Anolis sagrei: one gene and its partner. The protein of the gene in region 1 purifies or fractionates together with the protein of each later gene. This does not show direct contact. Links are inferred from orthologs where the notes say so. Each region holds a gene or a part of one and is shown on either strand. Other genes may lie near its edges.

Region 1 (3,905 bases):
CTTGGCTCTTTGAGTAAGCATTCGGAACCTCGGGTTAAACAGACAAAACTTGAATCGGAAATTGACCCAGGAACGACCAAGACGATGGAACGGATGAGTATTTGAACGAGAGGACATAGTTTCCAGATTTTTAAATGTATTGTAATGTTTCTTTTTGCTTTATCAATGTATGTATTTTATGGTATCGAATTGTGCCGACTGAGCCGCCTCCGGGCTGATAAGGGCAGGATAGAAATAATGTAAATAAATAAATAAGTAAATAAATAAATCTGTGGAAGGTCCAGGGTGGGAGAAAGAACTTGTCTGTTAAAGGCAAGTGTGAATGTTGCAATTAATCACCATGATTAGCACTGAAAATTGTTGGAGGAGACCACAAGACCCCTCCCTGCTTTGCAAATCAGTCTAAGGGCCGGGGGTGGTCCATGCCTTGGTCACCTCTAGATTGGATTACTGTAATGCACTCTACGTGGGGCTGCGTGACCTGGGTATAGGGTGGCAACCTGTGCTGGACGGGGTTACACTCCCCCTGAAGCCACAGGTCTGCAGTTTGGGAGTCCTCTTGGATTCATTGCTTACGCTTGAGGCTCAGGCGTTGGCGGTGTCTGGGAGGGCTTTCGCACAATTGAGACTCGTGCGCCAACTGCGACCGTACCTCGCGAAGGCTGATCTGGCCGGGGTGGTCCATGCCTTGGTGACCTCCAGATTGGACTACTGCAATGCGCTCTACGTGGGGCTGCCCTTGAAAACGGCTCGGAAATTCCAACTGGTTCAACGGGCGGCGGCCAGGATGTTAACTGGCGCTCCTTTCAGAGAGAGGTCAACCCTCCTGTTTAAGGAGCTGCATTGGCTGCCGTTTACCTACCGAGCCCAATTCAAGGTGCAGGTGCTTTACCTACAAAGCCCTAAACGGTTTGGGACCTGCCTACTTGCGTGACTGCATCTCCGTTTATGAACCCATGAGCTCACTTCGTTCATCCGGAGAGGCCCTGCTCGCGATCCCACCTGTGTCGCAGGCGCGTTTGGTGGGAACGAGGGACAGGGCCTTCTCTGTGGTTGCCCCCCGACTTTGGAACACCCTCCCCAAAGACATTAGACTAGCACCCACGTTGGCAGTATTTAGGAAGAATTTGAAGACCTGGTTATTCCGATGTGCCTTTCCAGAATAGGATAACCTCCAGCACTACGTCCCAGAAGCACTTTATTAGAGTTTAAGACTCTCTGCACATTGCACTTGCCCAGAATTCCAACATACCACCTCACACACCCAGCACTTTTTAACCTATACCCATCATTGGCCCGGCTCTGGTTTTATTGCGTAATAGTGTCATGTTTTGTTGTGTTATTGCTTATGTTTTTAATTTGCTTTGCATCGTATTGTTATTGTCTGTTGTTGTTGTGTTGAGGCCTTGGCCTTTGTAAGCCGCATCGAGTCCTTCGGGAGATGCTAAAGGTAAAGGTAGTCCCCTGACATTAAGTCCAGTCATGTCTGACTCTGGGGTGTGGTGCTCATCTCCATTTCTAAGCCGAAGAGCCAGCGTTGTCCGTAGACACCTCCAAGGTCATGTGGCCGGCATGACTGCATGGAGCGCCGTTACCTTCCCGCCGGAGCGGTACCTATTGATCTACTCACATTTTGCATGTTTTCGAACTGCTAGGTTGGCAGAAGCTAGGGTTGACAGCGGAAGCTCACGCCACTCCTCGGAATCGAACCTGCGACCTTTCGATCAACAAGCTCAGCAGCTCAGTGCTTTAACCCACTGCGCCGGGAGATGCTAGCAGGGTACAAATAAAATTTAATAATAATAATAAGGGCCCTTCCACACAGCCATATAAGCCAGAATATCAAGGTAGAAATATCTGCTTTGAACTGGATTATCTGAGTCCTCACTGCCATATACTACAGTTCAAAGCAGATATTGTGCGATTTTTTTTCAGCTGTGTGGAAGGGGTCTAACTCTCACGAAAGGAGAAGACGGGATGTTTTGTAGGCGCAAAGTTCAAGCAAAGGGAAGGGGCGATTCCTCCAAGGCCACGTACGTGCCTGGCTGCTGCTTTCCAACCCAGGCTCAAGATCTACTGCTGCTGGGGAGCTTTCCCAAGGCCGTGCCAGGGGCGAGGGGAGGGGCTGATGATCCCCCCAGGGCTGCGCCTGGGCCTTCTCGATGGGTTGAAAGAGGGCCTGGCGATTCCGGGGCCTGGCGGAGGGAAGGGATCCCCGAACACGCCCCTCACACAGCCTCGCTCACTCACCGATGAGGCGGCGCACCTCCTCCTGGCTCATGTAGACGCTGAGGCCCGGCCCAATGGCGGCGGCGGCGAGGGTCGCCTCGAGGGGCTCCCTCAGAGTCTCGGCGCCCGCGGGGGGCCACGGCGGCAAGAGGACGGCGAGCAGCACGAAGGGGCGGAGGAAGCTGCCATGGCCCTGGCCGCCCCGCACCATCGCCCCCTTCGCTCCCGCCCGAGCGCCCCCCCCCCCTCACGCTCCTGGGCAGGCCCTCGTGCTCCCGCCGCGCGACGCCCCTGCGCCCAGGCCCGCCGGCCTCCTCGGCGCCATCCTCCCTCGGCAACAACACGAGGACGCGCCCCGGACACGAGCGAGCGAGCGAGCGCGCGCCCTCTCTATTTATTATCTTTTTTTTTTTAACCGCCGCCGAGGCGCGAGCCAAGACCCGTCGCGCGCCGATAGGGAGGAGGGTGGGGGAAGCCCTGCGCCGGAACGCCAGTGCGCATGCGTCACTCGCCGCTGCCTCCGAGCTTGCGCAGAAGAGCCACTGGGAAACGTCTTCCTGTCCAAACTTCGTGACGTCATATTTCTCCCTTCTCTCTTCCTTCCAGTTTTGGAGAGACAATTTTTCTGCAGCTGGGATCGTGGAGGGTTAAATTGATACTCTTTCGCAGATTTTGTTGGACTACAGCTCCCATCAATCCTAGCCAGTACAGTGAGGAATGAGGGGCGTGGTGCTAAATCAGGCATGGGCAAGCTTGGGCCTTCCTCCAGGTGTTTTGGACTTCAACTCCCACCATTGCTAACAGCCTCAGGCCTGTTCCTTTTCTCCCTCAGCCACTTTGAGGAATGAGGGGCGTGGTGCTAAATCAGGCATGGGCAAACATGGGCCCTCCAGGTGTTTTGGACTTCAACTCCCACCGTTCCTAAGAGCCTCAGGCCTTTTGGACTTCAACTCCCACCATTGCTAACAGCCTTAGGCCTTTTCCTTTTCCGCCTCAGGCTGTTAGTCTTACTATTGTTATAATGTTGTTTTTATGCTTTCATATTTTTTATGCAATGTGATTGGGCTTGGCCCCATGTAAGTCGGGGCGAATCCCTTCGGGGAGATGTAGGCAGGGTATAAAAATAAAGTTGTTGTTGTTGTTGTTATGATTATTATATAATTACGCAAACACATAGCCAGTCTAAGAAGAAGTCCATTGTTTGGAATGGAAGAGCCTGGGATGCTCTCTCGGCTGTCTAGCTCAGGCATGGGAAAAGTTCAACTCTCGTTCAGTAATTTTTATTGAATTTTGTCAAAGTATACATTAAAACAACATTGAGAAAAGGGGGGAAAGAAAAGAGAAGGAAAAGGCGAAAAAGATTGAGAAAGAAAAAAAACAACAGCAGCAAAAACACACTCAACTCACAACACAACCCACACACACAACCCATCAAACAACCCACAAAACCTACACCCTATAGTGACCTCCATTCTTCTTACTTTATTAAGTCCTCTGTATTTCTTTTCTTCTTCCCTCCTTGGTGTTTATTTATGTCCAGAGAGAAAGCATCTTGTATGTTCTTTCTATTTCTCCTATTTCGTTTAGCTTAACCAGTCTTTTCTTTCTATATATTCCTGTAAAACCGTCCAATCTGTTGGGTTTATTGCTCGACCATTATATTGCCTAAGCCAATA
Region 2 (3,905 bases), on another chromosome or scaffold:
TCCAGGCGGAGAAGGCGACGCACCGACTCCGTGGCCGCCCCAAAGACGTACTCCAGCTGCCCGTTGACCCCAGCATCAGCGTCGGCGGCCCGCAGCTGCAAAATGGGCGTCCCAGGGCTGCTGTTCTCCGCCAAGTCGGCCTCGTAGACGCTCTTCTCGAAGCGGGGGCTGTTGTCGTTCACGTCGGTGATCAGCACCCTCAGCAGGGCCTGCGAAGAGCGAGCTGGGTCTCCACCGTCACGCACGCGGAGGCTCAGCTCATAGGCGTCGCGCTGCTCTCGATCCAAAGGCCCTTTGACAATCAGCTGGGGCTGCTTCTCCCCGTCGGGGGTGTCTGCAACTTGCAGCTCGAAGACGGTGCTCCGGGCCGTCGAGGAGCCTCCGCCTCCTTCTGCTTCGGGCCTCCTCTTGTCTGAGGCGCCTCGCCGCCCCTCACCACCGCCGGGCTCTTGGAGCAGCTCATAGCGCTCGATTCCGTTCCGCCCGAAGTCGCGGTCAGTGGCGGTGGGAAGGAGGTAGAGAGTGCCCACGGGGCGGTTCTCCTCCACGGTGAGCGTCAGCACTGGGGACGGGAAGGTCGGCGTGTTGTCATTGATGTCCAGGATGACCACCCGGCCTTCGAAGAGGTCCACCCAGCTCTGCGAAGGGCCGATGACGGAGACTTCGAAGTCGAGGAAGCACTCGTTCTCGTCGAAGATCATCTGGCACTGCGGCAGCTTCTCGCGGTCGATGCGGCGCTCGGTGGTGCTCAGCTCGCCCGTCATGTTGTCGATCTTGAGGTAGTCGGCGCCGGACTCGAGGCTGAACGTGACCTCGCCCGAGCCGGTGACGATGCCCAGGTCGGAGGCGACGTTGCCGATGCGGATGTCGGCGGGGCCCTCCTCGGCCAGGCGGTAGCGCAGCACCTGCTTGGCCGACGCCGGCACCACCAGCCCCAGCGGCGGAGGCAGCAGGAGAAGGAGCCAGCAGGCGCAGCAGCGCACCAGGGCCGGCAGCCGGCGCAGCCGCCACATCCTCCTCCGAGCCCTCAGCCTCCCAGCCAGGCAGGAGAAGAAGCACCCGAGAAGACGTCCCTTTGGCAATCCGGAGGGGGGGGGGGGGAAGCGGAGGCAAATCAACGCGTACAATCCTGCTTTGGAGGAGAAACTTCGCGGTGCATCAGAGCAATCGAGTCCAGAGCTGTCACTGGGAGGCTCTTCTTCTTCTTGCTTTCCTCCCGCGTTCCTTTCGATACTCACAGTTCACGGGGCAAAGCGGCTTTGGCTCGAGGAAAGATTCATCTCAGCGGAGAGGCTTGGAAAGGAAAGGAGGGGGCAGTTCCGCCTCTTTCTCCTCCCTCCCTCCTCCCTCTTCCCTCCTCCTCCTCCTCCGCCTTGGATGGTACTGTAATCACTTTGCAAGGTTGGCAAGAAAAGGAAGAGGAGCAGCGGCGAGGAAAGAAGGGGATGCAAGGCTGCCTCGCGCCCAAGTCCAGTCCAATTCGCGCGCGCTCTCCCTCTCCTTCTCCCTCCCTCTCTCTCGCTCACCGCCGTCGCTTCAGCTCTTTCCTCCTCCTCCTCCTCCTCTCCGCTCCGCAGACACCCGCCGAGGAGGAGGGGGTGGAGTGGGGGAATGTCAATCGCTTCATTCAGAGCGGGCTGGTGTCCGGTGGAGGGGAAAGGACCGAGAGAGAGAGAGAAGGGAAGAAAGAAAGAAGAGCAGGCAGGCTTCCCAGTCCACTTCTCCGGCGATGGAATTAAAAAGAGAACCTTTCCCGCACCAAATAGCCCATCTCCAATGCCTCTGTTGGGGGGGGGGGGGGGAGAGAGAGAACACGTTTCTTTCTCCTCTCGTTCTCTTCTCCTCTCGTTCTCTTCTAGGAATCCCCTTCGATGCTCAGGATGGCGCCCAAATCCACAGGGATGTCCGTTTCAGTCCCTTCTCAGCAAAGGAGCAGGTCTTTCGTCAAATATGAAGAAGAATACAAAAATAAATCAACTCTGCGCAAGGTCATTAGTCCCGAAAAGTCCGAAAGGCTAAGAGGAGAGGGAAGCAAGGAAGCAAGGAAGGATGGAGAGCTGGCTACTAGCTCTTTCCCAGCCGTGGAGGCACACACAGCACACACACGCGCGCGCGACGCCGGAGTCCCAAGTTTGCCGTCGCCTCTGCAGTTGGGCTGCGCGTGTGCGCGCGCGGGAAGGCGGGAGCGCGGACGGGCGCGTTGGGTCCGTGGGCGCCTTACCTGCATTTACCCTGCATGGCTTGGAGGCAGCGGAAGGGGCTGCAGCAGCAGCAGGGACAAGGAGAGAGTGCCAAGCTCCGGCTTTGGCGGCTTCCCCTCGCCGTCCCAGGCAGGTAAAAAAGGGGGTGGCAAGTTCAGCCCCTCCCCTCCCTCCTTCCGTGTCCCTCTGGTCCAAAGGTGAGCCCAAAGGTCGGCTGCGGGGGAGGGGGAGAAGAGTCAGGATGGCGTGCTTCCAGTAGCCCTAGCTTCCTTCCTCGTTGATCGATGCAGGGAAAGAGCTGGGACTGGGTCTTCTCTCCACGTGAAGGGCTGGATTATATCCGTCGCAACGCGTGTCCAAAAGAATGATGGCTGGTAATCAAAGGCAATGCCGAAGGAGAGCCGAACGAGAGCCGCAGTTGTGGCTGTTCGCTTTCCCTCTCTCTCCCTCTCTCTCTCTTTCTGTGTCTCTGCTGGCTCGCCTCGCTCAAGTGCGGCTGGTTGGTGCAGGGAGCTCGCTAGCCTCTCTCGCTCAATCTCTGGGAGGCACACACTTGCAGGGGCGCGCGCGCGGGCGCGCTCCCGCGCACTCCCTCACACGCCGCGGAGCAGAGGAAAGCGCGAGCGTGACGCCTGGCCGCTGGAAGCAGAAAGAAAGGGGGGGGGAGAGAGAGAAGGGAGGGGGGAGGGGGAGAAAGCGGCGGAGCATCAAGTTTGTCCTAAAGTGCTTGGGAATGGGAAGCCTCTCTCAGCGGCGGAGGTGGCTCTTCTCTCTTTCCCTCCCGCCGACGCAGAAAGCAAAAGCCCAGCTAAAAACCTCTCCCCCTCCCTCCTTTGCTTCAAACACCATATTTCAGTCAGAAACTCCTCGGGTGCTGAAAGAGGGGAAGCCACGTCTTCTATGTGTCCAAACGGGGGGAAGGGTTTGTGTTTTTTTTGAGGAGGAAAAGGAGGGGGGAGAGTCATGTGGAGTCTGCTTTGCATAGTCTTTTATTGACGTTTCCCCTCATCACTTTCGGAGGGTCGTGACAGACAGGAAGAGAGGGAGAGCTGCAGTGACTCGAGAGAGATCCAAACTCCAGGGAGGAGGAGAAGGAGAAGGAGAGGAACCTCCAGCCTGTACACAAGAGAGTCTACAGGGAGGGGAGATCCCTGGATTAGAGAGATGGCTCTCCCGCTATTTCATTCCTTCCTCTGTCTCTGTCTCTGTCTCTGTCTCTCTCTCTCTCTCTCCCGCGCTGTGGGGCTGACTGACGCGTGTCAAGCAGAACCGGCTCCCGCCTGCCTCTGAAAGCAACTTTCTTCCCTTCCTCTGGTCCAAAACTCCGTCCTCTTTGGCTTGTTCCCTCAGCTCGCCACTTTCTCCTTTTGACTTTGAGGCGTTCCGCCGCCAGTGGCATTCCCCCCTCTCTTTTTTTTCTAAAGAGGGGGCAAGGAACGCCTGTTGGCTTCTCCCTCCCTCCCTCCCAGCGAGGGAGAAAGAGGCAGCTGGCTGCGGAGGAGGAAGAGGAGGAGGAAGGCGAAGAAGGGCTGACTTAATGCAAAAAGCCTTATTGGGGAGAGTTGTTCTTTCTCCTCCTCCTCCTCCTCCTCTTCCTCTTCCCCCCTTTAACTGGAAGACTGCTTTGACAGGGCAGAAACAGCGCCGCCGTGACTGAAGGGTTGGAAAACCCCAGGAAAGGGCGAAGAGTATTGGAAGCGGCTG

What was found.
Region 2: the proteins of RYK (region 1) and PCDH7 purify together in Homo sapiens (affinity purification with mass spectrometry; 3 studies listed by BioGRID and IntAct, with this or other methods). This does not show direct contact. The link is inferred for Anolis sagrei from reciprocal best matches to the Homo sapiens genes RYK and PCDH7.

What each region holds. Positions count from the first base shown.
Region 1 is NC_090023.1:225,882,572-225,886,476, reverse strand, and holds the start of RYK (tyrosine-protein kinase RYK), read right to left. Parts: upstream 2,735-3,905; 5' UTR 2,441-2,734; coding exon 2,251-2,440; intron 1-2,250. UniProt on the Homo sapiens protein: May be a coreceptor along with FZD8 of Wnt proteins, such as WNT1, WNT3, WNT3A and WNT5A. Involved in neuron differentiation, axon guidance, corpus callosum establishment and neurite outgrowth.
Region 2 is NC_090025.1:115,071,798-115,075,702, reverse strand, and holds the start of PCDH7 (protocadherin-7), read right to left. Parts: upstream 2,813-3,905; 5' UTR 1,014-2,812; coding exon 1-1,013.